Linked DNA regions of Canis lupus familiaris. The protein of the gene in region 7 interacts with the protein of the main gene of each other region in a pairwise test. Links are inferred from orthologs where the notes say so. Each region holds a gene or a part of one and is shown on either strand. Other genes may lie near its edges. The genes, in order: MRM3, SAP30BP, PATL1, C9H9orf116, DCDC2B, HIPK1 and FHL3.

Region 1 (4,189 bases), on a different chromosome or scaffold from region 7:
ACACCAAGAACACATAAATACCTATACCTAACCCATCAATGAAGGTACTAGAATATTAGGCATCTGTGTGCTGTAGAAAGGTCCTGCACTTAGGAGCCACAGATAGCTAGCTCTAAAACCATTCAGTGGGGCAGGGGCCTCAGGAGTCCTTTAACCTTTACCTGAATGGCTGCAATGATCAGAGCTCTCTACTAGAGAGGCCCTACTTACATTACTAGATTTTAAAGATGTGCTGGAAATCTTTTTTTTTTTTTTTTTTTTTAAATTTTTATTAATTTATGACAGTCACAGAGAGAGAGAGAGGCAGAGACATAGGCAGAGGGAGAAGCAGGCTCCATGCACCGGGAGCCCGATGTGGGATTCGATCCAGGGTCTCCAGGATCGCGCCCTGGGCCAAAGGCAGGCGCCAAACCGCTGCGCCACCCAGGGATCCCCGATGTGCTGGAAATCTGATAGGCAGTCTTATCTCTTTCTCCCTATACCCCATCCCTCCAACATTAAATAAAACATAGGATAAGCTAAATAGGGGCACTTTGGTGGCTCAGTTGGTTAAGTGTCTGCCTTCAGGTCAGGTCATGATCCCAGCATTCTGGATCAAGCCCCACATCGTGTTCCCTGCTCAGCGGGGAGTCTGCTTCTCCCTCTCCTTCTCTGCCTTGCTATGCTCTCTGACAAATAAATAAAATCTTAAAAAAAAAAAAAAGGATAAGCTAAATACACATATTTCTAAGAGACATGAAATGATGAAGGCAGTCATAACAACAAGGAAGGCTAGAGTCCTGGATAGGCTGGCCACTATTAGCACACATGTGCAAAGTGACAAGCATGGTAAAAAATTGAGTGATATTTGCACTGTAGTATAGAGTAGGGAATTAAAGGTGTAGCTAACAAGACCATACTTAAAGTGGAGGGCTTTAGCAGTCCCAAATCCCCACCCTAGGGGAGAGTTCTAAATCCAGGGTCACAGATCACTATGACTTACTGGATTACAGAACGAGAGATGGTCCCCAGAACTTCCTCTCCTAATAGCTGAACTATCCCACAAGGAAACACATGCACAACAGAGACCTGATATCAGAGACCCTGGCCTAGGGGATCCCTGGGTGGTTCAGAGGTTTAGCACCTACCTTGGGCCCTGGGTGTAATCCTGGGGTCCCGGGATCAAGTCCCACATCAGGCTCCCTGCATGGAGCCTGCTTCACCCTCTGCCTGCGTCTCTGTCTCTCATGAATAAATAAGTTTAAAAAGAGAGAGAGAGAGAGAGAGAGAGAGAGACAGACCCTGGCCTAAACATTAGAATCTTGAAAATAACTCTGCCTGCCCCAACTGTCCCTTACTATCCAAGAGGAACCTCTACACTTAACTGCCATTCAATTCTCAGATCTAAGATATAATTCCAATGTCAAAAAGATGTAAATTTAGTTTTTCCATATTTAGAAAAATAAACCCTTCTAAGTGCTAATAGACACCACAGTCTATTAGAATCTTTTTTGATTCAACCAAATAAAGACAGTTTCTAAAAAAAAAAAAAAATAAAGACAGTTTCTTGTTCAATGAGCTAAGCAGGGTAATAAGCTCAAAGCTTTCTGCTTAGACATGCTTCTACAAAGAGGGTTAAAGACAGAGAGGTATCACCACACTGGCAGAGGTCTTGGACAAATGGAGAGCTAAATACTTTAATAAACATTTTCTTAAATTTTAGCTGGACATTGAAGGTTGAAAAGTGACCTAAAAAAATACAATGTTCAAAGAACTATAAAGAGCCACAATACAGATAGATAATGACAAAAAAAACTGCAGCTTCCACTGAAAATACTGTAAGACCCACAGATCTGAGAACTGTATTTATCTGAGTGTCTTAAAACATTTTGAATTTGGTTCAAATAAAATTTGTTGCCCTAAGACAATTATGAATAAGTAATCCTAGATCTCTACTTCTAGTGACATAAGTACTGACCCATTATTCCTTGTGGAGTTACTAGGTCGGACCAATCCTTGATATCTTCAAATTTCACCTTAATGAGACTGACACCTTTCAGCTTATCAATGGGAAGCTCCTTTATGTACTCCAGACGGCTAAAGAAGAAAACTTTTGGCACAGCACCAGCCTTGAGAGCATCTGCAATAAGCCTGCGACCTTCCAGTAGGATCTTTCCTTGCTTTTCCCGAAATGGCCTGGACTTAACTATTGTCATTACACTGCTGTGGGTGGAAACAAAAAGACAGGTAATTACTAACATCCTTGTTACCAAAACACACCTAGTTCTAAGAGACATAAAGAGCTTCATAGACATAAAAAAACGAATTCTAAAGAAAACACTTATTTTGCCCTCCATGCCTAATAAAAACCAGAAAGTTGTACCGGGATTAGTCCTCCAAAAGGAAAAAACGGGTTAAGGTCCCGATGGCAGGCGGGGAGAGAAACGGGAATACATGACAAGTCTCAGGAACACATCACCTCAGCCTTCTGTCCCCGGGCAAAGCCTTATCATAGCGAAGCCCAGACTCTTCCCAGGCGCAGGACGTCTGGGATGCGGACACCTGAAGCGGCGGCTTCTGTCGCTGCTCGTGGGGACTGGCCTCAGGCGCTGCCCTCCGGGGCTGCTTCTCAGGACCAGGCTTCCGTCCCACCGCCTGTCCGGATGGAAACACCACCCTCACCGGGCTCCGCCGTAGCGCCCGGACCCAGCGCCGCGCGTCAAGGTCCCAAGTTCGGACCACCGACAAGAGAGGCCGCGTGACCCACCCCAAGCCCTTTACCCACGCCGCCATCTTCCCTCGCGCCGTGCGTGCGTCACGGAAGCGCGCCGGCGGGGACCAGTGACGTCACGACCGGCCCGCGCAGCCTCCTGACGGTGTGTTTCGCTAATAGCTATGGCTACTCGTCGAGCTTTGCACTTCGTGTTCAAAGTGGGAAACCGCTTCCAGACCGCGCGTTTCTTTCGCGATGTCCTGGGGATGAAGGTGCAGACGGGGCGGAGGAGGGCTGGCGCGCGAGGTTGGGTGGCCGGGACCGCTGAGCCCCACTAGCCCCAGGAGGGGCCAAATGGGTGTTCCGTGAATCTCCGCCAGCGCCCGGGCGTCAGACCTTAGCCCTGGACTCCGCATTAGCCTTGTCAGGTTTTCAGCTCCAGGAAGCGTTGCATGTTTCTGGTTGGGTTAGATGACCTTTGAAAGGGGCCTTTATTAGTCTCCGACTGTTTGCCCTCACGCTTTTAAGTTCATTCACAAATACTGAGCCTCAGCTCTTGTGGAGCTTCCAGTCAAGCGGGAAAGATCATAAACAAAAAGCAATATAATACTTCTCCAGTGAACAATAGCTCAGTTACTGTTTGGAGCCTTTCAGTTTAGATAATCAGCCTATTTAGAGCTCTGCTTCTCTCAAGGCTTCTGATCGCTGGGATATTCACTCTCTGGGTGATTGCACCGGCCCTCCTTTTAGCAGTCCAGATCCAAGTGTGAAGTCAGTACCCATTCTCTCTAACACCCGGAAGCGCCCTCTCCAGCTCTAAGCAGCTGCGATTTTGCAGGGATCCCTGCGTGGCAAATGGAGGTGGAGAGCTCCTGATAAGCAAGGGCTTTAGAGGTGCAAGAGTGCAATTTAATGTAGAGAGTGAAGAAGACGTGGAATGCAAGGGAGTTACCCGAATTCGTCAGTCATTTAGAATATATCATCCGCGTTTCACGGTCCTATGTTGAGCTGATTTGTATATAGTTAACAGTAATGGAAATCAAAACTTGATAAGTGAGGGAAAACCACAAAACTCTCCCTTAATGTGTTTCTTCATTGGTTAAAGGGTTGTTGTGAAGATTAAACACTGTTATATGTGTGGTATTTAATATATCATATGTATTGTATAAGTAGTAGCCACCACTATTATTACAAAAATACTACAGGAAAGATTTAATTTCAGCCTGAGTTGTCAGGAAATAATCCACAGAGAATTGAATTTGAGTTGATATGTAAAGATAGGTAAGATTTCCACAAAGATTAGAGGGAGGAGTGTACTAGGAAAACTGGAAGAGCCAGTGAAAAAATAAGGTATGTTTGGAAAACACCACTAGTTTTCTGTGCCTCTAGCTTAGATTACTTAGTTGAAGTTGAGGTGGGATACAGGACAAATAGGTTAGGACTACCTTTTTTTTTTTTTTTTTTTTTAAGATTACTTATTTATTTATTTGAGAGAGA
Region 2 (3,917 bases), on a different chromosome or scaffold from region 7:
TTGGTCTAAATCAAGAAGGAACCGGATGGGTCAAACATTTGTACCTATTTTTTAAAAAAGATTTTATTTCTTCAAGAGAGAGAGAGAGGGGCAGCCCGGGTGGCTCAGTGGTTTAGCGCCTCCTGCGGCCCAGGGCGCCATCCTGGCGACCCAGGATCGAGTCCCATGTCGGGCTTCCTGTGTGGAGCCTGTTTCTCCCTCTGCCCGTGTCTCTGCCTCTCTCTGTCTCTCATGAATAAATAAATAAGATTTAAAAAAAAAAAAAAAAAAAAGAGAGAGAGAGAGAAAGAAAGAGAGAGAGAGCACTGGAGCACAGGTCAGCAGGGGGAGGAGGCAGAGGGAGAAGCAGACGCCCCGCTGAGCAGGGAGCCTGATGCAGGACTCAATCCCAGGACCTGGGGGTCGTGACCTGAGCCAAAGGCAGACGCTTCCCCAAGTGAAACCCCCAGGGGCCCCAAGCACTTGAACGTTACAGTTTATACAGCTCTTGCACAAATCATCTCACGGACTTCTCACAATTGCCCTAATTTAATTAGAAAGCTTTATTACAGGAATTGACAGAGAAGACTCACAGAGATAAGGGCCCAAGACACACAACTTGAAAACACAACTTGTTTAAACCAGGATCCAGAGCAGAGCAGAGGGGCAGAGTCCACGTCTCCTGCCATGCCCACTGTGCTGCACCGCCTCCCACACAACCCCGGTGCCCCTGCACCACAGAGGGGCCTCCGCTGGAGGCTGCAGGGTAGGAAGCCTTCAGAGACCCTCTTGGGACTGAAGGGGCAGCAGCTCCTCTCCAGGGTTGCAAAGTCCCATCAAAGGAGGGGAGGATGACACTGACCTCTCTTAGCGCCCAAGTGTGTGGAGGGGGGCAAGGGTGGGGACAAGTGTGAGTCAATTTTTATTTTGGGGATGGTGGGGCAGGATCATGGTACTCCTCTGGTTATGCGACAGTTACCAGGTGCAATTTTAGGAGCACTTTTCTAACCCTCTGCCCATGCCACAGAAGCAACACGGCTCTTCACAGCCCGGCTTCCCTCTCTGACACATAGCCCTTCCGCTGGGCTGGACAGCTGCCAAGGGCCAAGAAAAGCGAGAGAATTCCCTCCAGACTTCTGGGCTGACAGCGGCTGGGAAATCTGTTTTGGCCTCAAGAGGAGCCCGGCGGCCACTGGCGCTGCCCAGGCGCTGCTGTGGGGCAGAGATAACAGGCACAGGAAAGGTGGGGTGGCAGGATCCTCCCAAGAGCCTGGCTTTCACGTAAACAATGAGCCGCCGCCGCCAGGGCAGGAGGTGATTCATGTCCCACACGGCGTGGAGCCCGCTGGCTGTGCTCGGTGGGCACTGAGGGACCGGGGCAGCCTTGGCCAGGCGCGGATGCCTCTTGGGCTCCCTGTGCAGCCTGGGGATCAAATCCAGGCCTTCTGGTAACGGGCCGGACTTCAAAAGCCTGGGTGTGTCTAAAGAGTCTGGGAGGGCTCAATCTCCCCCAAGGGAGCAGAGACCTCGGCTCTTGTCTGAGAACTGGCTGGCTTTCAGGATCAGGGCAGCGGCCAGCGGGACCATGGGGCCTCCCCCACTCTCTGGACGCCCACCTGCCCGTGCCAAGAGGCACATGCCGGGAATGACCACAGCCACTTCCTGGGCTGCCCCCACTGACTAGTGCCACAGGCTTTGGCCACTCCACTACCAACCCTGAGGTAGTAAACCCGACAAGAGGAGATAGAGAGGGCACTTGGAACTTCCGCATCTGCCTGAAAACAGACCACAGAAGAGGCCAGTGCAGCCAAGATGCCGACAGAAGAATACGGCACTTTTAATAGGGCACCGGACCTCAAGTGGTGTGTGGACACCGTCCACAGCACCCGACTCCTCTGTAGCTATGTCCTTTTCCTGGCTGGAACGCCACAAAGAGGCTCCTCTTGGGGTGGCATCTGGGGAGCAGATCCCAGTCCTGAAATAAACAAGGCGGCACCTCTGTGCCAATGTTGGTCTCCGGGCTGCACAGTCTCCCCAAGTCCTGAAGTGGCTCCTCCCCTCGATGGAAAGAAATGTCCAAGCCACCCCAAGCTGGTCCCTCAGGTCACTGCTTGGCCTTTTTCACGATGGTGCCCACGGCAGAGATCACAGTGGTCTTGGAGCCACTGGCACTGGTGGTCACCGTGACGACAGCTGGCAGGGTGGCTGTGGTGGTGAGGATGGTTGGCTGCGCTATCGTCGTCACCGGAATGGCGGAGTCCCACTTGCTCTTTCTCTTCTGGGCATCTGGAGTGAAGCAAGGGATGAGTGTCAGGACAATAAACTGACAAGCAACATTCTCTTTTCTAGGTCAGGGTTTAGGGGCCCCTACAGAAGGGGTAGCCAGTGAAGTGGGGACCCCACCCCAAGTTCCCATGATGCCTTGCAAACTCTGGGGTCAGAAAAGAACACAGCAAGGTGGAGCCTACGCCCAGATCTCCATGGGCTCTGCTCCCCCAAACAAGGCAGGGAAACCCCGGCTCCATCTGTGGTGTGGCTAGAAGCAGACCAGCCTCCCTTTACCTGCAACTGCTGTGCTGGCTGTGGTGGTGGTGGTGGCTGTGGCGTTGGTTGTGGTACCTTTCTTGGTGCCTGTCACAAACTCGATCTGGAGAGAGAGAAAGGGAAGAGATAAGGGCTGTGCCAAGCAGTTTATCCGCATCCTCGGCCAGCGGGGCTGAGTTTGTGCTGTACAGAGGAGGCAGTGAGAAGCAGCCCTGTTGTGCTAAGAGAGGGAGAGGAGTCCAAGAGGTGCTTGGAGGAGACTTTTATTACATTTTTTTGTGTTCCGGAGAGGGGGGGGGGGCAGAGGGAGAGAGAACTCAAGCAGGCTCCACACCCAGTGCAGAGCCCAAGGTGGGGCTCAATCTCATGACCCTAAAATCAGAACCTGAGCCAAAATCAAGAGTTGGATGCTTAACCCATGGGACCACCCAGGGGCCCCTTTGATTTTTTTATTATTTTTTGGGGGGAGGGGCAGAGGAAGAGGGAGAGAGAATTGAATTTTACTACTTTGAGGACAGCCTTCTAGACATTGGACTGCTCCCAGCATCACCACATTTCTGCACGTGCAGGGCAAACCAGCTTGCTGCCCTGCCTCACATTTTGGGTGGAGGTGTACCCACCCGTGTGGCAGAAGCACAGCTCTGGTTCCCAGGTGCTGCAGACATGTCCCACACTAAGCCTGGGGTTTGGAATGGGGAGGGAAAGAGACAGAAGGGACACTCCATCAAGCACTAAGAACGAGAAAACCTGATCACCCCAGCACCAGCTCCTGGTGGGTGGCCGCCCCTCTGCTGGGGGTTGGAGGCATCCTGAAGGCTAAGCTGCTGCAGGAGGGTCAGGGCAAAGCCAAGGTGGGCAGACCTGGTGCCAAGGCCCCTTTCTCTCAGAGACTGGTCGTAAAGGGCATAGCGCCCTGAGGATGTTTAGTCTCATCGCCAAATTTCTGTTCTCCAAAGATCTAAACCACGCTGCTGGGCAGCCCAAGTGCCTCAGCGGTTTAGTGCCGCCTTCAGCCCAGGGCATGATCCTGGAGACCCAGGATTGAGTCCTACATCAGGCTCCCTGCATGAAGCCTGCTTCTCCCTCTGCCTGTGCCTGTGCTTCTCTCTCTCTCTCTCTGTGTCTCTCATGATTAAATAAAATCTTAAAAAAAATAAAATGCAGAGCTTTTTTAAAAAAAGTAAATCACGCTGCTTGAGAAGAAGTGCTATTCAGACCCTAAAATAAGGGGTCAGCTGGCCACCAGGCATGGGACCTACAAGGAAGCATGGAGGCAGACTGTGCAGATCAGATCTCAGGAGGAAGACCCACTACTCTATCAGGCCAGGGAGGACACTGATGACCATGCCCAGAGCCAGCAGGGCTCCGCAGCTGTAGCAGGCAGCAGAGGGAGG
Region 3 (3,519 bases), on a different chromosome or scaffold from region 7:
TTGGTAGCAGCGAGGGAGAAGGAATGATAAGAAAGCTGGAGGATTAACTAAGTCCTATTCTGAAGCCCCTGTGATATGGCCGCCATGCTCAGCTGTTTTGTGATACATTGTGACTCCACCGTTTCATAGAATACTGAGCCTAACTAGGCCATACCAACACCACCCTCCCCCCATACCTTCCAAATTGGCCTTCCTTTTCAGCTGCTGGTTTCAGGTGGAGGAAAGTCTATGGAACAGGACTGCACAGGCTCTAGGGAAAGCAGGGATATCTTAAAGGTAAAAAGGGATGTGGACAATGCTGTGTGTTCCCACTCCCCCCGGCTTTTAGTTACCTCTCTGCCAATGTTGTGGGCAGCCAGCAAAACACTTTGAAAAGGATATATACACTAAATGTGGTTAACTACCCTTTTTCTCCCCCAATGAAAAGGCAGCAGCAACAGGAGCAGCACCAGCAAAGGGCATTAGGGAAAGTGTCTCTTATTTGTACTAACTTCTCTTTCTAATCTAATGCCTACCCAAAACTTCCACCCTCCTCCCAGCATTGCCAACTTCCCAAATAATTTTGCCCAGATTCCCAATATCCTGGGCTGAGTGCCTGTTAATGAGAGGTACCTGCTGGTTGAAGCTGGGTACGGCCATCTGCTTAGGTGGGGTGCCTATGGGGACGGCTCTAACAGGAGGACTCCCAATGATAGGTGAAGTTGACCGCCGTGGTAATGCACGCTCAGAAAGGTCTCGATCATCTTCTGGGCCCTGTGGGGGCCTTTGAGGCAGGGCATATTCTAATACAGACACTGTCGGCATTTCCTAATTGAAGAAATGGGTTAAAAAAAAATCAAAACAAAACAAATAGAAAATTAGCCCACAGCCAACTTAAAATGTTTTAATACGTACAGATGCCAAAAGCATCTTGAGAAATTTTTAAACTTTTTCTTTATTCATGTCCAGTAACATTCCCTCTCCTTGCTGTACAGTCCTCTGAATTTTGATAAATACAGAGATTCATGGATCTACTGCCACGGTCAAGAAACAGAGCAGTTTTGTCACTGCCCAAACCTCTGCTGTACTGTCCCTCAGCAGTCAACCCCTTCCACTACCTCCAACCACTGTTAAACACCTATCTGTTCTTCATTCCCATGGCTCTACTTAGCAATGACTTCAGGAATTTGGATTATAAGCTAACAAATTTGAATTCTAATGTCTCCCTTTCTACCTTTTCAAAATAAAGCACAGTCAACTGAGCATTGCTGTGGAGGCTGCGAAAGTGTACCATCAACAGGTACAGTTATGAGCACTAGATCAAATAATCAACACAATAATAGCAAATGATAGACACACCTATACACTGTTTCAGTAAGGAAAGGATCCCAACAGGAGTTTCCACGTACTAGGAATTTGTATAAAGAGAAAATGTTTAATACCTGAGCAAGCAGTGGTCCTCGGATTCGCCTCAGAACTTCAGATCCATCCCAGATGCTGGAATTGAGACTTCCTGGTTGGGGCTAACAAAAAAGGAAAACACATACGCAAAGTCTGGAATACTGAGAGCTTTCTGGGCGATTTAAACTGGTTTCGGTGAACAAAGCTCCAAAAGAGTCTCAACTGCTTGAGAAGACGAAACTACAGTGTTCTAGGATGTACATTATTCCCCACCTTCAACTGCTATGATCAGGAATTATATTAATAGTTTTATATGGAACATGCAAGTTTCTTAGGATAGTAGATGAAACAAAATGCACAGCTCAATACTTCACCTTAACTACTAGTCTGCTATAGTTCTCAAATCAGAGTAACTTACTCACTTGCAGAACTGGCCTGGTCTGCACTGCTCTCATGATTGCTGGATCTTCTAGCTCATTTTCAATCACCATCTTACTGAGCCTTTCTGCCAGATTCTCCTCATGGTCACCCAACAAGTCCATTTCATCCCTTTCTCCATTGCCTGTTTGTTCATTAACTGCCACTGGCAGTTTCTCTTCCAATTCAGCCAGGCGCTCATGGGCTTCTTGCCAATCATCATCTATAAGGACATCATAAGAAAAAAAACATACTTCATATAGGGACTAAAAGTTTTATGAAATTCTTCAATTAACCAAATGAACTCATGTTAGAATATAGTCAGCTTCCACTTAGAGACATGAAATAAGATTTAAGCTAAGAGGCTTAAATTGAAAGTGGGATTTTTGTGATTAAGGACAAATAACATCATGCCAGAAATAAAATTCAAGCAGTTAGACTGATAGTTTAATACATTATGAATGGCATCCAAACTGTATCCTGAAAACAATTTCTAAACTGGTGATAGGTATGTATACAACAACCCATAGGTTTTCAGATTCTATGATTTATCAGGCAAAAAAGTAAAGTTAAAACTCTCTGCATTGGTATACAGGTTCTTTTAAATTATAATCGTCTTCTTTACAAGCTCTCAAATTCATTCATTTCATTCAATGAGTATTTGTTGAGTATATATTATGTGCTAAGTACTCTTTTAGGCACACGGGATAGATCTGTGTATAAAAACATAAAGGTCCCTGGCCTCCTGGAGCATTCCTTCAAGTAGAGAAGAGACAAAAAGTAGACAATAAATGTAATAAGTAAATTCGGTACTATTATCAGGAGATGAAATGCTGTAAGAGGACGGAGGAAAAGCAAAGGTTGGAGACTGAGTAGGATGGTCAGAGGTATGTCTCACTTTGAGGGTGACGTCTGAGCAGAATCAAGAGTCCAATAGATGGCTGTGTGGATTATGTGGGGGAAGAGTGTTCCACACAGAGGACATCTATAGAGAAGGCTTAAGGATAAGTGACGATTGTGAGAGATAGCAAGCACTGTGTTTGGATTGGAATAATCGAGGAGAAGAGTAGAAAAAAATGAGGCCAAATGATGGGAGAGAGCTCCTTCCAGGTCATTCTGATTGAAATGGGGGCCACTGGAGGTTTGATGTGGCTTGACTTTTTGAAAGAAACACTCTGGCTGCTGTACTGAGAACAGATTCAAGAATTGGGGAGGAGGGGCAGGGAAAGGAGCAGAAACATGGAAGCATGGAGGTCTGCCAGATGGCTACTGCAGCACGCCAGGGGAAAGGGGATGGCGATCCAGACCTGGTCCGGTCCTTTTCCATGTTAACAACGTCCCCGCTATTCCTGCACACTACTACACAGTCTGGTGCTGGCACAAGGTTATGTGTTCACACAATATGCCGATGCAGTGTTATTTATGAGTCCTGCTACAGCACAGGTAAAAGTCTTCAGAACCCCCATCAGCTTCTTTATTTCCATTGCTCCTTATTTCCCTACCTTATTTCCATCGCTCGGTCATCCCAGTGCTCCTCAATCATCCTTCATTCTGCTTCCACTCACTAGTTCGCTCCTTTTGGCATTTAAATTCAGGTGTCTTTCCCTCCTCAGGGAAACTTTCCCTAAAAAATCTTTTCATTTTAATGCTACCTTCACCTCATCTGAACACCAAGACTTTCAAACTCACAAAACCCCCATGTATTTGTATGTATTTTATTCT
Region 4 (4,042 bases), on a different chromosome or scaffold from region 7:
TTCTGCGACGGCCCAGCCCGCAGAGGAAGGAAGGTCCCCATCAGGAGTCCCGGGAGGGCCCTTGCAAGGAGCCAGGCCGCACGTCTACCCCCCCCACCCGCCGCTGCAGGTGCAAGTGACCCCTGCCCCCAGCCCCCAGCCCCCAGCCCCCAGCCCGCGGGTCTGCTGCCTGCCGGCCTTCCGGGGCCCGCTCCCCGCTGCTCCCCGCTGCTCCCCACCCCCCAAGCTTCGCACTCGGGACTCCTCGTGGCAGACGACTCAGCCCCCGTGGGAGGGCCAGGCGCCCCCTCCCCCCCCCGCCGCAGGGGAGCCTGCCTTACCCGCGCTGCCCTCCGGCTCGCCGACCGCGGGGATCGCGGCGCCTGCCAAGGTCCTGCCGCCGGGCCGGGCCCGCCCCGGGGTCGCCGTCCCGAGCAGAGGCGGCCGCAGCGCCCGGGGCCAGACACCTGCGGGGAGAGCCGGCCGTCCTCGCGCTGTCCCCGCCCGCCCACCCCGCTCCCCGCGGGCCCCGGGCAGCTCCCGCCCGCACCCCCACGCCCGCCGCGGTCCCCGGGGCCCCTCCGCGCGCACTCACCCGCGCCGAGCAGCCGGGGCGCGGTCGCGGCGGGAGCCATGGCGCGGAGGACGACCCGGCGGGGACACGCTCTCGGGCCGCGCTGCTTCCGCCCCCGCCGGCGCCCCCGCCGCAGCGCCGCCTGCCGGCCCGGAGGTGCCCCTGCGCGCCCCGCCCCTGCGCGCCCACAGCCCTCGGCCCCGCCCCTGCGCGCCCCGCCCCGCCCCCGCCGCTCGGCCCCGCCCCGCCCCCGTCCGCGCGCGCCGCGAGCCCCACTTCGGCCCGCCGCTGGCCGGGAGTCACCGGGGCGCGCCCCCCGCCCTGCCCCCGGCTCGGCCCCGCAGCCCGCACGAGTCCCGGCCCCGGGGCGCCCTCCTCACCTCCGGCCGGTCTAGCACAACCTGCCGCTCTCCCCAGGAGCATCCCGGAGGACCAGGCGCAGGTGGAGTCTGCCCTGAACCTCCGGGCGCCGGGCGGCCGTGCGGAGCTGGGCGTGGGCTTCCCGCTCCCCCGGCCTGAGCCGGCCCGGGGGCAGATCCGCGCTCGCCACCCCACCGCGAGGAGCCGCCACGGTCGCCGGCCTCCGGGAGCGCGGCGCCTTCGGGGCGGGGCCGCCCGGGCAGCTGACCCGGCCGTCGCCTGGCAACGGGACGCCGCGCCGCCTCTCGCGGCCTCCCACCCGCCGCAGCGCGGGAGCCCAGGCGCATGTCGGAGCCGAGCCCCCGAGAGTGCGCGGCGGCCGAGGAGCCCCCCGCCCCCGCGGGGCCCCCGCCGAGGACCAGCGACTACTACTGCGTGGACGAGAACCTGCCCGTCAGGTTCAACAACCCGGCGTGGTTCCGGGGCTACGGGTGAGGACGGATCGGGTCGGGGGCCACCGGGCCAGCGCCGGGCCTGGAGGGGGCGGGGGGCTCCCCAGTCCCCAGCCCGCCCTGCAGCCCAGGTCAACGGACTTGCCCGCGGTTAGCACCCAGGGAGCGAGGAAGTGCCGCCCGAAGCTGCAGACCCGCCTGCGGGGGTGCTCGGGTCACTGCAGGAGGGGCGGGGTGGCCAGGCAGCCGCACCCAGCCGCACGCCTCTCCAGCTGAGCGCAGTCTCTGCAGAATCCGAATCCCGCAACCACCACCCCACCCCCCCGTAGCTGTTCTTGCAAAGCCTTAGACCCAAGTAGTAGAACACCCGCCACCACACCTGCCCTGCCCTCCCTCACCTAGTCTCCTCTGCAGGCCGGTAGACCAGATCTGTTAGTATTCTTGCTTTCCAGGAGAGACTGCTGAGGGTGGAAGCATAGCATCCTGCCCCAGATCTGGTGGCATAAGGCACGGCTGACATCCCAACCACAGCCTGGGCTTTAGAGACTGTAGGCATGTTTTCTGCCCAGGGCTCTGAAAGTGAAGGGACCCTCCCACCCTGGGGTGGCAGGGTGTGGAGGCTGAGCCCTGGGTCCTGACCTACCCATCTTCCCCGGGAAATGACGGTATGTGCCAAGCCTCCACCCCGGTTGAGGTCTGCATTTGCCCTCCAGGAGTTCTTTTTTTTTTTTTAATTTTTATTTATTTATGATAGTCTCACACACACACACACACACACACACACACACAGAGAGAGAGAGGCAGAGACACAGGCAGAGGAAGAAGCAGGCTCCATGCACCAGGAGCCCGATGTGGGATTTGATCCCGGGTCTCCAGGATCGTGCCCTGGGCCAAAGGCAGGCGCCAAACCGCTGCGCCACCCAGGGATCCCCCTCCGGGAGTTCTTTAGGGCTTTGGCCTCCCTTGGGGAAGAGCCAGGGTGGAAGTGAGCCGAGGAGGCAGGGAGGCTCATCGTGCCTCCCGCGGCACCCCACCTTCGGAGCCTCAGCACCAACCTGTGGCATTCCCAACAGAGCGCCACCAAGTGAATATTCTAAGACTACAGGCTTGGGCAGAATTGGAGTAACTGTTTCTCATCTGCCAGGACCAAGGAGCCTGTCTCCATGTACAGGACCAGTAACCAAGCTTACGGGAGCAGGGCCCCCACCGTGCATGAGATGCCGGTAAGCCAAGCTTGGAAGCACCTGTGTGTCATTGGAACATCTCCAGGAGGAGGCTGTGACCCTGGATTTCTCATGAGGGGCGGTGGGGAAGGGCCCAGATTTCCAACCTCACAAAACTGGAGGTGGCACATCAAGTCCTTTCCAGACAGAGCAGAGCGGAAATGAGTGAGTGAGCAAACTTAGCGATGGAATGTGTCAAAGATGGAAAAGGTGTGTGTAGACTGGCTTGAGACGTCCCACCCCCTCTGTCATCTTAAGGCCATGAGTTTTGAGGCAGACAAGTGAACAGTTGCTTTCTTTCTGGAATAATACTTGATTTTAATGAACTTGTGGCCTAAAGAGACAGGACGGGCCAAAATCACAGGTGGCAGGAGGACAAGGCATCCTCTTGGCGGACAAGGCATCCATCCCCACGTGGCTGGATGTGGGGATCTGTGCACCTTTGGGGAATCCTCACCCCCTTCTGGAGGTTGATGTCACAGTCTGGAGCTCTAGAACCCCCTTCTGAAGCCCCCTGGTGTCTCTCTTGGGCCCAGGTGAAGGGCCAGGCTGACCAGCGTAAGCATTCCCTGGATAACTCAGGACAGCAGGGCCACCCACTTTGGGCTGATGATGCTGTTGTTTCTTTTGAAATACTCATCATTTAGAGATCTGGCCAAGTTGCTCATTTGCTTGTTTCACATGGGAGATACAGCCCTTGTGAGGAGATTATTTATCTAGAAAGTTTCTAAAGCATTTAAGGGTCACTCACCCAGAATCAAAATGATTCCACATTTTTCCCAGGATCAGGTATTAACATGAAAAATACCAGCACACTCAACTCACTAACATGGGTCCAAATGTTTTACTTTTAGAAACAAGACCATTGAAAAAAAAAGTTTCCTAATTTTTTTTTAAATTGTGGGGGTTTGCCCCTCGCTGGTCTTAGCAGGTGATGGGCCGTGAAGCACTAGATGCTCTGCAGGCAGGGTCGGAAGGAGGTTCTTCCTGCTGCTAATTGACGGGCTTTACCTGCAGACTCAGGTCAGGATACCGAAAAGCGGGCTGCAGCTAAAGCTGGTCAGTAAGCAGCAGGAAGAACCTCCTTCTGACCTACAATCTTTTTTTAAAAAAAAAAGAAAGAAAAGAAAGAAATGCACTGAAGACATTTATTTTTGCTCCTGCCTCCTGCCAAGCAAAAAGAGTATCAGGTGATCTTGACACGAGGAGAGCTGAAGAGCGGGTCCACCTGTCCAGGGTAAAACACCTAGCCCTGGCCCTGTATGTCAGAAATCTCAGGGTCTCCCCAATGACGCTGTGCTGCTGGTCCAATCACCACCCTGGGTGCCTGCGCACACGTGCATGGACTCGGCTGTGCTCCCCACCGTGCCCTCACCTCACTAGGGCAGCGCCTCCCCATGCCCCTGGGCTGGTGGGGTGTGGGCATCAGAGGCATCTTAGAGCTCTACAAGGGA
Region 5 (4,231 bases), on a different chromosome or scaffold from region 7:
GCCCTCTGGGCACCTGGCCCAGTCACCCAGGCTCTGCCCTGCTCAGCTGGAGGGGCCTCTCCCTGTGGCATAGAAGGAATCCCATTTGGGGAAATGTGCTTTCCTTTTGCCTTGTCGCCCTCATGGGCAGCCGGAGTCAGTAGGGAGGCTCCCTCTAGGGACTTGTGGACCTCCCCAGACCCGCACTCCGCACTCACTTGCACACAGCCCCGGCCTGCAGTTTGGCCTTCTCAGTCAGGAGCTTCAACACGGTTTCCCAGTCCTCGCTGGCAGCCTGGGACAGTTTCAGGCTAAATGGGGGACTTAACAGGTCCCCATTCCTGAACACACTGGGACAAAGCAGTCTGGTAAGAAGAGTCCCTAGAACCCCCTGTGTGAGAGGAAGAAGGGTAGCACGGGGCCAGAAGATGATCTAAGAGCCAGTGCATGGGTCCATTTTCACCCATCAGGCACGTTGGGACTTTTTATTTTATTTTGTAAAGATTTTATTTATTCATGAGAGACAGAGAGAGGGAGAAGTAGGCTTCCTTCAGGGAGCCCAATGCGGGACTCGATCCCGGACCCCAGGATCACACCCTGAGCCAAAGGCAGATGCTCAACGCTGAGCCACCCAGGTGTCTCACACTGGGAATTTTTATATCCCTGCTGGTGACCTGGGGCCTCCTGGAACAAATCCACTGCCGTTTTCTTGGTCTTTACTGAAACAGAATCTCTGTTCCTGCTCTCTGATGCTGGTACTCACTGGATATAGCAGGGGGAGCCTGCAGGTGGTTGCGATCCAAGGGTCCTGTCACGTGGGTAGTGAGTCACAGGAGGACCCTGAAACCCAAGTCACGCCCTCAAATCAGGACAGAATTGAAGCCTTTGGTTGGAGGGGTCAGTCCAAGGGGGGCAAGGAGGGATGGGATAGATTACATCTTTCGCCAAAGGGCCCTTCCATCTCCCTGGAGTCACATTCCAACCATCCCCTTGCCCCCATGTGTTTTACAGCTTCCTCTTTGCTTTGCGGACCACAATCTGGAGATAAAATAAAAGGCTGGGAAAGGATCAAGGGAAAGTTTTGAAATCCTGCACCCCAGGAAGGGCAGCAACTGACTCCAGAGTGGGTGTGCAGAGTGCCCCCTGTGGAACTGGCAGGTCCTGTTATTTCCAGGGCCCCTGACTTCCAAGACAGAATTGGGGGCAACCCCACGAAGGGTTAGAGGACGACTCCCAGTACTCACTGGTAATCTGCTGCCCTTTCCACCTGAATCCTTCTTTCCGGGGGGTAAATAGCTGAAAGGACAGATGGGTCACAGGTCATCTTGGGGAGCCTGGGGGCTCAGCTTACCAGGTATCCATTCCCACTGGGATAGTCTCAAAACATCTTTCCAGAAACAGATGTGGCCCTTGAACCTGCCTTAGGGCCCTGTGTCAGGCTGAACATCCAGACTGGGGTCTCAGACACCAACCATTAAGATTAAAGGTCAAGAGAAACTAGTTCCTTAAGCATCATACTGTATCTCAGAAATATTCTCACTCACAACTGTATCTCATTTTCCGTGAGACAGAGAAAGTTAAGTGACTCACCTAAAGTACACGGAAGTAAGTGCCAGAGCCCAGATTCTAGGTCAGCCTGGCTTCCCACCCCTTGCTCCTTATGCCACCCTAAGCAACCTCAGGTGACTGCTGAGGAGCACCTGGAAACCAGATAGGAGTTGGAAGCTCAGGTACTCAAAATTCTTCTCCCATCTTGGAAGGCATGGCCCCACCTTGAGAGGGGATGACCCCAGCCAGCGGAGAGCACAGGTTGCCTTATCACAGCAGGGAGGAAGTGATGGATGGATTTAGCGGTGGGCAACGGTGGTGGTAGAGGATCCAATCAAGAAGAGCCTTTGGAAAAAGGGGCTCACCTTGCAGAGAATGTTCTCCTAGCAGCCCAGTCCTGACTGTGATGGGCATAAATACCAGGGTCAGACATTCCCTAGAGCTGTGGCTCCGCTGTTTGTAATTTGTAGGCTCTTAGGCAGGATATTTAGCCTGTCTTGATTTTCCCTGCTACAGAATAGGGATAAGACCACCCCCTGCATAGGGCTGCTGTATTCCAGAAGAGAACATATGAGGTGCCTGCACATACAAGTACTAAATACAAATACTACTGCTCTTGCAGTTCCCTCCCTCCCAAGGCTCTAACCAGCCCCAGCCCACTCACTGCAGCTTGCAGAATCTTTCGAAGCCAGCAGCCACATACTGCCCTCCATTCTGCAGGTCGGCCAGGTCAGTGACACGGTGGCCGTGACAAGGCGTATAGAGGGCCCGCACTGCCACTGGGGCCTGCACAATCGATGTCACCTCCTGGAGGAAGGTCTCCAGGGTGGGAAAGCGGCGTTGACTCACCACCAGCTGGTGGCCTGGAAAGTAGGGGTCCCCGTTCCGGTATATCACCACCCTCTTGGCTGCTGGATTGCCACCACCAGCCATAGTGTGTCCTCTGCCATAGACGCAGATCTGTTGCCAGGCAACCAGGCAGGCCGGGAGTAGTGCCAATCAGAAGTAGAGTCCTGCCCCCTAACCAAAGAAGGCAGGGAGAGACTGCAGGAGCATGTGTCTCCATTCTGGGTCTCAGCCAGTCAGCCCTTGGTGGGGCCTCTCGAGAGTTGGGTGGGTCTGATGACTATATTGGAAGGAAGACTCTGGGGCTTAGTGAGAGGCAGTGCTGGAGATAACACTGAAACACAGATGTTCCAATACTGGATAGAGGGAAGAATTCTGAGGCACCCTGCCACTCCGAAGGCCAAGGGCTGAGCTCAAAGGAAGATCAGCTTTGGGGGCTGTTCCCAAGGATGGCCAGTCAGCCCCTGGACTGTGGCTCCCAGCCAGCCCTGGGAAGATGCCGCATGCCAGCAGGTAGGGAACAGGAAGGCCCAATGTCGATCCTGAACAGAGACAGATGATGAATGCAACCAGGTGTAGAATCCATGAAAAACCTTTATTCTCTATCAGGCTCCCCACTTTACTTACCCCGGATAACTCCCTGTCCCAAAATTTGGATTAAGCTACAGACAGAGGATGGAAGAGAGTCTCTTCCTATCCTCTCCCTATGCTGGTGCCAGCTCCTTGCTCCAGCTTCTCTTGGCCCCATTAGCCACCAATGGCCAAGGGCAGAAGGTAGAGCTGGTAGCAGGGAGCAAGGATGAAGCCCTGCCTCCCTCATCACCCTCTCATAGCACCCCCCTTTGGAAGCGGGTCTTCCCCCTGGCTCCCCAAGGAGGGCCTTCCTCTCCCATGTGGAGTGTCCCTGTTGAAGACAGTTTCTCAGGCGGCCTTGATTGCCATGGTACAATCCTCTGGTTTTTCCCTTCCTCATGGCTAGGTTCATTGGAGGTTCTGTCTCTGGAGCTTTTGTCCCTAGGGAACTGGCCCTTAGGTGGTTTAGTCTTCCAGAGATCCTGGCCACCATACTCTGCCAAGGTCTCATCCCATATGCCAAAGTCCTCTGAGAGGTCCGACTTCCGTGGCCTAGCTCTTTGGCGATTGGCCTCTCTGTGTTCCGGCCCTGTGGGAGACTTGTCCTCAATATCTGGGTCTTCACAGAGTGTGGGCACCCAGGTCCTGGCCTTTTCGGAATAGGAGCCCCTGGGTTTGAGGTCTTTGGGGGTGTGGTCATCCAGGGCAGTCATCCGCTGCGGGCAGGTCCGTCCAAAGGTCTGTTCCCCACAGTCTGGCTCTTTGGTGAACCTGTTCTCTAAGGCCTGGTTATCTGATAGTGTGGGCAGCTGTGGCCCAGCTCTTCTGTAGCATGGGTCCCTGTACTTGATCCCAGCAGTAGTTTTGTCTGTAGTGGCCAGTCTTTCCAGGGACTTGTGGCGTTGTGCTTTGAGCCTCCAACAGTCATCCACATAGTCTGGCTCTCTAGTGGTCCTGTCTCTGTAGGACTGGTTTTTTGGTGGTGGGCTTGTTTGTGACCCAGCCCTCTCACAGGTCTGTGTCCTGCCATCTGGGCACAAGTTGGGCTTGTCTCTGGGCCGGCTCACCTCTGGGCCAGATGTCAGTGTTTGTTTAAGAATCAGGTACTGTTGGGGAAGAGTACAGACACTGTACCAGGCAGGACTGCTTAAGCATAGAGCAGGAGGCTTTTCTCTAAGCCCCACCCCTGGCCCTAAACATGCAGGAAGGGCTCCAAGGTAGTGCCTACCTCCTTACGGCTACTGATAGCCTGTTGCAGCCACAGCAGTTCCATGGCCAAGTGGTT
Region 6 (3,519 bases), on a different chromosome or scaffold from region 7:
ACAAAGAGATAAATATTGTATGATTCAACTTACATGCCGTATCTAGAATAGGCAAATTCACAGAGACAATAAGTCAAATAGAGGTTACCAGGGGTAGAGGGAAAGGTGGAGTTTTTGCTTAATGGTTACAGAGTTTCTGTTTTGAGTGATTAAAAAATTTTAGGAATAGTGGTGATGGTTACAGAACACTGTGAACATACTTAACACACTGAATAGTACATTTAAAATGGTTAAAATGGTAAACTTCATATTAGGAAGATTTTACACAATTAGAAAAAAATATGTAGATGGCATACCTTCTGAGCCTTTGTTCAGATTAAAATATCCTTCTTTTATTTTCACACACAATATAAAATTCTAAGCTCAGACTTTCTATTTACTGAAAATTTAATATGGGCATTTGATATGTTGGACATATCACCTGATAAACATATATTGTGGATTATCTTTTTTTATTGTTTCATTTCTTGATTGGGTGAGTGTACAATTTGTATTTAATGAATGATCATTAAAATTAAATATTAGGTTCCTTATAATTAGTAACTAGACAAATAAATAAATGTGGTATTAAGAAATAAAAGCTCATTTAAGACTTCCCCCTTTATTTTCAGTAATTCTCCCTGATTATAGCACAGACAACATTGTATATACAAGCATTTAAGTACTTTCACAATAATTATTATATATTAAAAAGACAGCTTTCTTAGAAGTATCAATCTGGAAATATAAATCACTAAAATATAGGCACTTATTGGGTCAAGGACATTTTAGGATAACCAAATAAGGTCATAGCCAAATTAAGTTCGAACTCTTATGGAGATGTTAAAATAGGAAGAGCCCTCGGCAATCATCAAATCCAATTCTCTTTACTACACAAAAAAGAAAACGTCAAAGAATGAAATGTTGCTAGAGTTAAACCTGGAATTATTCCCAAGGCATCTTACCTGCCAAGATATGAACTTGGAAAAGTAGCAGCATATGCCTAAATTCATTACAAATAAGTAAACATCTTTATATTTTTAAAGACTCTTTAAAATGGGAGAATTAGGTTTAATGGTACTTGAGAAGGAACCGGATGCTAGTATAATTCAACTATGAACAACCTTCAGAATTAGACTGAATTAATTTTTCTAGTGTTAAATAAAACTTCAGAAATAATGTTACATATAGGAATGCCAGAGATGGAATGAAGTAAAACATATTTTCCTATTCTACCTTGCAATCTGCAAATAAATTCAGTTTGTTATACGTACTCTATGTAATATATGTTAAATATAAAGATAGATCTCTAGTCTAAGATATGCTTTTTAACATTTGCCACTTGCCTGTAGTAACGTGACTGTAAGTAGGTTGAGCACACAGCTTTGGAAACGTGACTAGCAGAACCAAAGTCAATGACCTTCACTCGGTAGGGTTGGCGCACTGGGTCGACCAGCATTATGTTTTCAGGCTTAAGGTCAGCGTGAATCAGACCAAGGCTCTTGAGCTTCATCAGGGCTGTGGCCACCTGCTGCAAGATTGGTCTGATGTACTTGAGTGGCAGTGGGCTAAACTTGTTCTGCTTTAGAAAATCATATAAGTTCTGCTCCAGCATCTCAAACACAAGGCAGGTGTGATTCTTATGCTGAAAGCATTCATAAGAACGAACAAAATTATACTCATCAGCATTTTCACTGCTTAGGCGGGAAAGGATGCTCACTTCAATCTGTCCTTGTCTGGCATAGGAGGGGTGGTTCTTCAAGATTTTAATAGCCACGATTTCCTTAGTGCTCCGCTTCCAGCACTTAGCCACCTGTCCAAATGTTCCCCGGCCTAGGAACTCCAACACTTCATAGCTATTGGTCATAGAGCAAAGGATCTCATGCTGGACCAGCTGGTAATCCCCTTCTCCGCTGGAACTGCTACTCTTTGTGGTCACAGTGGTGGTTGTGGCAGCAGCACCCACCACAGTCCTGTTTTGCAGCATGAGAGGGGGATGTTCTTCTATGATCTGCACACTACCGTTGCTGTCAACTTCCTCACTTTTTCTTTTCAATCCACATTTTTGATATGGCTCAAGCAAAGAAACGTTGTTTCTGTGAGTCAGGGTCTGGCTGCTTTGGAAGGTTGATGTAGCAGCACTGGCCGAGCTATCAGCAGCTGTTACAACAATATGCTCCACTGCAGGAGCTGGGAGGAGGAGGCCCTGGTCGTAAGCAGGGATGTTGAAATTTGCTACCTGGTGAGAGGAGTTGGCTTGCCCTTGTGTGGCTGGGAGGGTTTTGCTGTGGGTATAATATTTGTCGTTGCTGCTCTGTCCAGAAACATCCCAGCCAGAGGGCTCTATTTTCAGTTTCTTCGCACTGCAGAAGGCACTCGACGACACTGATGGGGGGGAAAACACCTGCAGCTGTGATGCCATACCTACGTTGAGAGAGAGGAAGAATTAGATCCTCAGTTTTACACAACCCTGCAATTAATAGATTAGAAAACTTTTAGTTTAGTAAAACCACAAGTAAAATATTACTATCTGGCTGGAGTTTTATTTTATGCATTTTCCAAAATATGTTTCCTATTACAGAAGGATAAACTTTTTGGTCTAATCACACACACACACACACACACACACACACCCTTTTTTTAAAAAAGATTTTTATGTATTTATTCATGAGAGACCCAGAAAGAGAGGCAGAGACAAAGGCAGAGGGAGAAGCAGACCCCCTACGGGGAGCCTGACGTGGGACTCAATCCCAGGACCCTGGGATCACAACCTGAGCCAAAGGCAGACATTCAACCACTGAGCCACGCAGGTGCCCCTAATCACTCACCCTTAATCACTCTTTGAGACTCAGCAATAGTAAGTCACCTTGTCAAAAGAGCATGAACATCTATGATGGTTTATAAAATAATAACCATAATAATAATAGCTTAGATGATTGATCACTTACTATGTGTCAAGGAGTAGTCTAAGCACTTCCACGTGCATTACTCATTTAATTGTCACCACAACCCTTTGGAAAAGATACTATCATTATTTCCCCTTTACAGATGAGGAAACTAAGATACAAAGTGGCTAGAGTAACTCGCCCAAAATAGCACAGCTATTAAGTAGCAGCACTGGAATTCAAACCGAGGCTTTTTGGCCCCAGAACTCATTCCACAGCTCTGTCTTCATTCCTACCCTGATGAGATTTTTGATCATTTAGAGATAGATGACACACTTACAAATTTTACAGCTGAATCAAATTTGCGAAGGATATTCAATATATTGCTAAAATAACGGGTCCCAAAAGATCACAATAGGGCAGAAGCCGCAAGACAAATCTAGATGAAATTTGACACAAATATAGAATCCTACACAGGCCCAAAATATGACTAGCACAAAGCACCAGGATAAAAAAATTCAAGGTTTAGCAGGAGCACATGTATATGAAAAACACTTTGAGTTGGTAAAAGAAACACTATGTAATAATGTTTCCCCAACCAAAAGCTAATTCAATCTTAAACTACATTCACAGAAAGAGTGTCCAAAATGTGCTG
Region 7 (4,035 bases):
CCTGGGCTGTGGGCCACTGGGCAGCAGGGGGCCACACAGGTGGAGTGTGTGGCCGTGGTCCGTTGGGGAGTGCCCCAAATCTTTTCCTTCCTTTCTGGCTTGGCACACAGCAGCCATCACCTTCCCGGGCCCAGGGTAGCCCTGGGGCCACCCTCTGGGAGGCAGTCATCACTCTGAAACAGGGGCACCCCAAATAGGGTATGGGCATGGCTTCTGTTTCTTTCCCAGAATCCCCCAGTCCCCTAGTTTGTCCAGCTGGGCTCTAATGAGGACAGAGTGAAGGGCACTATGGAGACCCACCTGTCCCTGCCCATCCCCCTTCCTCCCCTCCCTCCCACTTTCCCTGGCACAGCAAGAGAACTGAAGAGAACCAGTCTTATATTCCCTCATGGCCTGGGGAGGGGGGGTTACGGAGGAGACTGCTCAGTCTGCCAAATGGCTCTCAACTCTTGTCCTCAACACACACACAAACACACACTCACACACACACCACCCCTACACCTGACACACACATCTGGCACCTTCCAGTGAGCCTCCCAGAGGTTAGAATGGCTAGATAAATGGCTGTGGCACAGTGTATAGTAGGCCCAAATGTGGCTTGGGGTGGGCATCCTGACTTCTTCCCTTACTAGCTGGGTGATCTTGGGCAAGTCACTTAAGGTTCCTGGGCCTGTTTTCCTCTACGCCTACCCCCTTCTCCCGGGGTTGTCGTCAGGCTGAAATGGTGGTGCTTGGAAAGCACCTGGCAGAAAGGGACTCCTCAGTGAATGGTAGCTGTGGGCGTTTTTATGATCAGCCCCTCACTCATACGGGGGTCAGACAAATTTCTGAGCCAGGCCTGGCTCAGGGAGCTGGCCTGGGTTTTGACCTGGACATTCTCAGGGTAGATTCAGGGATAGACCAAAGAGGGACCCCCACCCCCACTCCCCAGTTCCACTAGGGGAAGTGAAGAAGCCCAGGCCGTGGGGCTGCCTGAGGAGATCAGTGGGGCCGGCCTGGTGCCAATGAGCATAACTCCTGAGACCCCTCACACAGGTACACAGGTGTACACACCTGCATGCTGCTTGGCCTCCCATAAAGAGAAATCCCATCCACTATTTCACCAGATCTCCCAAAAGGCAGGCAGAAGAGCATGTCATTCCCATCTTACAGTCGAGCACAGGGACAAGCCAGGCCCAAGGTCACTCAGGCCTCGGAGAGCCCAGGTTCCCTGCTTCCCAGCCTGGAGCCCTTTCCTGTTTTTCTCTCTAAAAATGCTGCAGCGGTGGCAAAACGGGGTGGTCAACATTTTAAGAGCAGGGGTGTGGGAGATACTCGGTGACATCACTAGCACAGGAGTCTCACTCTTCTCCCCCAGCTGCTAACCCTGCCATTGGAAGGCACCCAGAAGCCTTTCCAACTGCCCATGCCAACCGTTCAACTCCTTTGCCCCCATCCACCCTGCACTGTCGGGGAGGACCCTGGCCAGGCCTCACAGCTGTGAGTCAGGATCAGATCAGACCCCTCCTCCCAGCTCCCAGGAACTGACAGGAGATTTAAGGGGAGAAACCTAACCCCCCCCAGCCCCCAACCTCCGGTATCAGGCACCAACCCCAAACTCTCCCTCTCCCCACCCCTCCCCGCCATGGGGCCTGGGAGTCAGAGCAGTTTAGGGGAAGGAGGGCGGGAAGCGGGATCCAGCAGCTGCCTTGGGGACAGGAGAGGAACAGTTCATTCACCCCGGGTCCCCCAGGGCTGAAGCAGCATGTCCATGATTTGAGTTTAAAAATAAGTTGGGGCTGTCTTGGTGTGTGCCTGGGGCTCCTTTCCGACGTGCCTGTCTCAGGTCCTTGCCTCACGGGGCTCTGGCTGGCCCAGAGTCTCTGTTTCCCCGCACCCCTGCTTCCCAGTCTTTCTCAGGCCTCCGTGTCTCGGGGTCTGTCTGGGAAGCTGTCAGGGCGCCTCGAGCAAAGCCAGCTGCGCCCCACGCAGCGCGACTGAGCCTCTGCACACCTCAGCTGTCTTCGTGTTTTGGGGACCTGTGTCCCGGGCTAGTGACCTCTGCTCATTTCTACCTCTGTACACCCAAATCTCCGTAACTGAGTGCCTCCAAGGGGTTCCCACCCCGACCCCTTCGCTTCCTCCTCGGAGCACCTCTGTTCCTGAGCGTCCCTGTCTGCAGTTTCTGGACGGCTCCATAGGCCTCACAGAGGCTGATCTGCCACAGGGCTAAGGAAGCTTAGGCTTCGGGGCCCCTCACCGCCCGGGACCCTGCAAAGCCCTGGGAAGGGCGCTGCTCCGTGTTCACCGGGGTCAGGGGACGCTTCTCCTTCGAGTGCTCCAACCCACAAAACCTAGGTCCGTCCAGACGCCTCCGGTCTCCCTCTCGGGGACTCTACGCCCCCAGAACCTGTCCCTGACTCCCTGACTCGGGTCCCCGTGCAGCCCCCTGTCCAAGCCTGCCGCGCGGGCCCGCGTCTTGGTCTGGCTCCGCCCGGCTTTCAGGGAGCCTCAGTTTCCCCAACCCTCCAGGTCCCGCGCTCGACTCTGGCTTCTCCGTTTCAAACTTGGCCCCTTCCCCCCCCATCCCCAGGTGTCGAGCAGCCCCCCCCACCCCGCCGGGCGGCCGGGATCGGGGCGGTCCCGGGGGTGGGGGGGCGCCCTCCGGGGCTCGGCGCCCCCCGCTCCAAGCGCGCCCCCCGGGGCGTCGGGGGGCCCCGGGCGAGGAGCCGGCCTGGGCGGGAGCTCACCTCGGAGCGGGCGGCGGGAGCGGGGAGGCCGGGCCGCGCGTCCCTCGGTGGCTCGTACCTGCGGGCCGGGCGAGCGGGGCCGGGCGGGGCGGGCGGGGCGAGCGGGGCGAGCGGGGCGAGCGGGCGGCCGGCGGCGCTGCCGGAGCGCACGGACCCAGCGGGCGAGTGGAGCGCGGCCCCAACCCCTCCCCGAGGAAGTGCGCGCCGGGCCCGCCCCGCCCGGACCCCGCCCCCGGCCGCCCCCGCCCCGCACCCCCAGGCCGGGGGCCAGACCCCGCCCACACCCCCCCTCGGGCCCGCGGGTCTAACCTGGCTCGCCCGACCTTCCCCGGCGCCGGGACCCCGCCCCCGTCCCCTGCTCGCCTCCGCCGTCCCCTCCCCTGCTGCACCCCCTGCACCCCCCAGCAGCCCGCTGGAGACGGCCTGCTGCACTCGATCTCCAGCACGGGGGCCGGCACCCAGCCCACCCAAGTCCCCTGGGGTCCTCACTCATGGCCTCTTCGTGCGCCCCCACTCCCACCTTCCAGCTCATCCCCTCAGGGTCACACCTAGACCCAGCTTGTAAAGGGGCCTTAATCAAGCCTGGAGGCCCGGGAGTGTGTGTGTGTGAGGTGGCTTGACTCTGCTGTCACGGCCCTCCCTATCAATGGGAACCAAGGTGTTCTCTGGAAACAGGGAGTGAAGAAGGGACCCCCCCACCTCCGCCTCCGCCTGACCCCAGACTGGGCCTTGACCTTCAATGATTTCACAACTTTTGAGTGGCAAAAACAGAAGTACCCCCCACCTCCTCACCTCCGGAGGCACCCTGGGACAGAGAAGTTCGGCCTTGGGTTTCCACAGTGCCCAGGAATAGTTATGACCTTTGAGGCCCAGGGGAGACCCTAATCCTTGGCCCCATGGTTTTTGGGTTTCTCAGGGAGGGGTGTGAAGAGTGTGCGCGGATGGGGCACCGCAGGGTTGGTGGAGGGAAGTGGAGGGAACCCTTCCTCCCCCACCTCTACAGTTTCCAATCCTCTGGCTTTCTCCCTGCGCCCCAGGAGGGAGGACTGCTGCCTGCCAGGGACACAAGGCCCCTCCAGGTCCTTGGGCCAATCCCCCTGGGATCCTCAGGCTTGTCACTAGGCATAAATAGCCTCGATCTAGAAGGGTGGGGAAGGGAGGAGGAGGCTGTGCTGTACTGTTTGCAAAACAGGAGACAACAAACTGACTCTAGAAATAACCTCAGCATCTAGAGTAGAGACTCAGGTGCCACAGGGCTTCTCCCATCCCCCAGGCTGGGTCTAGCCAAGCTCTCAGAACAGAGACT

Evidence for each region.
Region 1: the proteins of FHL3 (region 7) and MRM3 interact in binary tests that used the Homo sapiens proteins (3 or more experiments, as listed by UniProt). The two-hybrid records come from large-scale screens. The link is inferred for Canis lupus familiaris from reciprocal best matches to the Homo sapiens genes FHL3 and MRM3.
Region 2: the proteins of FHL3 (region 7) and SAP30BP interact in binary tests that used the Homo sapiens proteins (3 or more experiments, as listed by UniProt). The two-hybrid records come from large-scale screens. The link is inferred for Canis lupus familiaris from reciprocal best matches to the Homo sapiens genes FHL3 and SAP30BP.
Region 3: the proteins of FHL3 (region 7) and PATL1 interact in binary tests that used the Homo sapiens proteins (3 or more experiments, as listed by UniProt). The two-hybrid records come from large-scale screens. The link is inferred for Canis lupus familiaris from reciprocal best matches to the Homo sapiens genes FHL3 and PATL1.
Region 4: the proteins of FHL3 (region 7) and C9H9orf116 interact in binary tests that used the Homo sapiens proteins (3 or more experiments, as listed by UniProt). The two-hybrid records come from large-scale screens. The link is inferred for Canis lupus familiaris from reciprocal best matches to the Homo sapiens genes FHL3 and PIERCE1.
Region 5: the proteins of FHL3 (region 7) and DCDC2B interact in binary tests that used the Homo sapiens proteins (3 or more experiments, as listed by UniProt). The two-hybrid records come from large-scale screens. The link is inferred for Canis lupus familiaris from reciprocal best matches to the Homo sapiens genes FHL3 and DCDC2B.
Region 6: the proteins of FHL3 (region 7) and HIPK1 interact in binary tests that used the Homo sapiens proteins (3 or more experiments, as listed by UniProt). The two-hybrid records come from large-scale screens. The link is inferred for Canis lupus familiaris from reciprocal best matches to the Homo sapiens genes FHL3 and HIPK1.

The regions. Positions count from the first base shown.
Region 1 is NC_049230.1:44,978,211-44,982,399, forward strand, and holds the start of MRM3 (rRNA methyltransferase 3, mitochondrial), read right to left. Parts: upstream 2,809-4,189; 5' UTR 2,773-2,808; coding exon 2,459-2,772; exon of another isoform or gene 2,363-2,458; intron 2,203-2,362; coding exon 1,958-2,202; intron 1-1,957. Other genes in the region: GLOD4 (glyoxalase domain-containing protein 4), read left to right, coding at 2,875-2,964. UniProt on the Homo sapiens protein: S-adenosyl-L-methionine-dependent 2'-O-ribose methyltransferase that catalyzes the formation of 2'-O-methylguanosine at position 1370 (Gm1370) in the 16S mitochondrial large subunit ribosomal RNA (mtLSU rRNA), a conserved modification in the peptidyl transferase domain of the mtLSU rRNA.
Region 2 is NC_049230.1:5,747,322-5,751,238, forward strand, and holds the end of SAP30BP (SAP30-binding protein), read right to left. Parts: intron 2,627-3,917; coding exon 2,542-2,626; intron 2,266-2,541; coding exon 2,084-2,265; 3' UTR 519-2,083; downstream 1-518. UniProt on the Homo sapiens protein: Plays a role in transcriptional repression by promoting histone deacetylase activity, leading to deacetylation of histone H3.
Region 3 is NC_049239.1:37,550,150-37,553,668, reverse strand, and holds part of PATL1 (protein PAT1 homolog 1), read right to left. Parts: intron 2,021-3,519; coding exon 1,803-2,020; intron 1,503-1,802; coding exon 1,422-1,502; intron 808-1,421; coding exon 613-807; intron 1-612. UniProt on the Homo sapiens protein: RNA-binding protein involved in deadenylation-dependent decapping of mRNAs, leading to the degradation of mRNAs. Acts as a scaffold protein that connects deadenylation and decapping machinery.
Region 4 is NC_049230.1:51,281,056-51,285,097, reverse strand, and holds the start of C9H9orf116 (UPF0691 protein C9orf116 homolog), read left to right. Parts: upstream 1-1,241; 5' UTR 1,242-1,258; coding exon 1,259-1,404; intron 1,405-2,509; coding exon 2,510-2,588; intron 2,589-4,042. Other genes in the region: MRPS2 (28S ribosomal protein S2, mitochondrial), read right to left, coding at 321-446, 575-614. UniProt on the Homo sapiens protein: Microtubule inner protein involved in the attachment of outer dynein arms (ODAs) to dynein-decorated doublet microtubules (DMTs) in cilia axoneme, which is required for motile cilia beating.
Region 5 is NC_049223.1:68,392,640-68,396,870, forward strand, and holds the start of DCDC2B (doublecortin domain-containing protein 2B), read right to left. Parts: upstream 2,817-4,231; 5' UTR 2,461-2,816; coding exon 2,192-2,460; intron 1,276-2,191; coding exon 1,224-1,275; intron 820-1,223; coding exon 743-819; intron 330-742; coding exon 198-329; intron 1-197. Other genes in the region: IQCC (IQ domain-containing protein C), read right to left, coding at 3,201-4,052, 4,175-4,231.
Region 6 is NC_049238.1:52,268,445-52,271,963, reverse strand, and holds part of HIPK1 (homeodomain-interacting protein kinase 1), read right to left. Parts: intron 2,404-3,519; 5' UTR 2,402-2,403; coding exon 1,326-2,401; intron 1-1,325.
Region 7 is NC_049236.1:4,653,574-4,657,608, reverse strand, and holds the start of FHL3 (four and a half LIM domains protein 3), read right to left. Parts: upstream 2,817-4,035; 5' UTR 2,730-2,816; intron 1-2,729. UniProt on the Homo sapiens protein: Recruited by SOX15 to FOXK1 promoters where it acts as a transcriptional coactivator of FOXK1.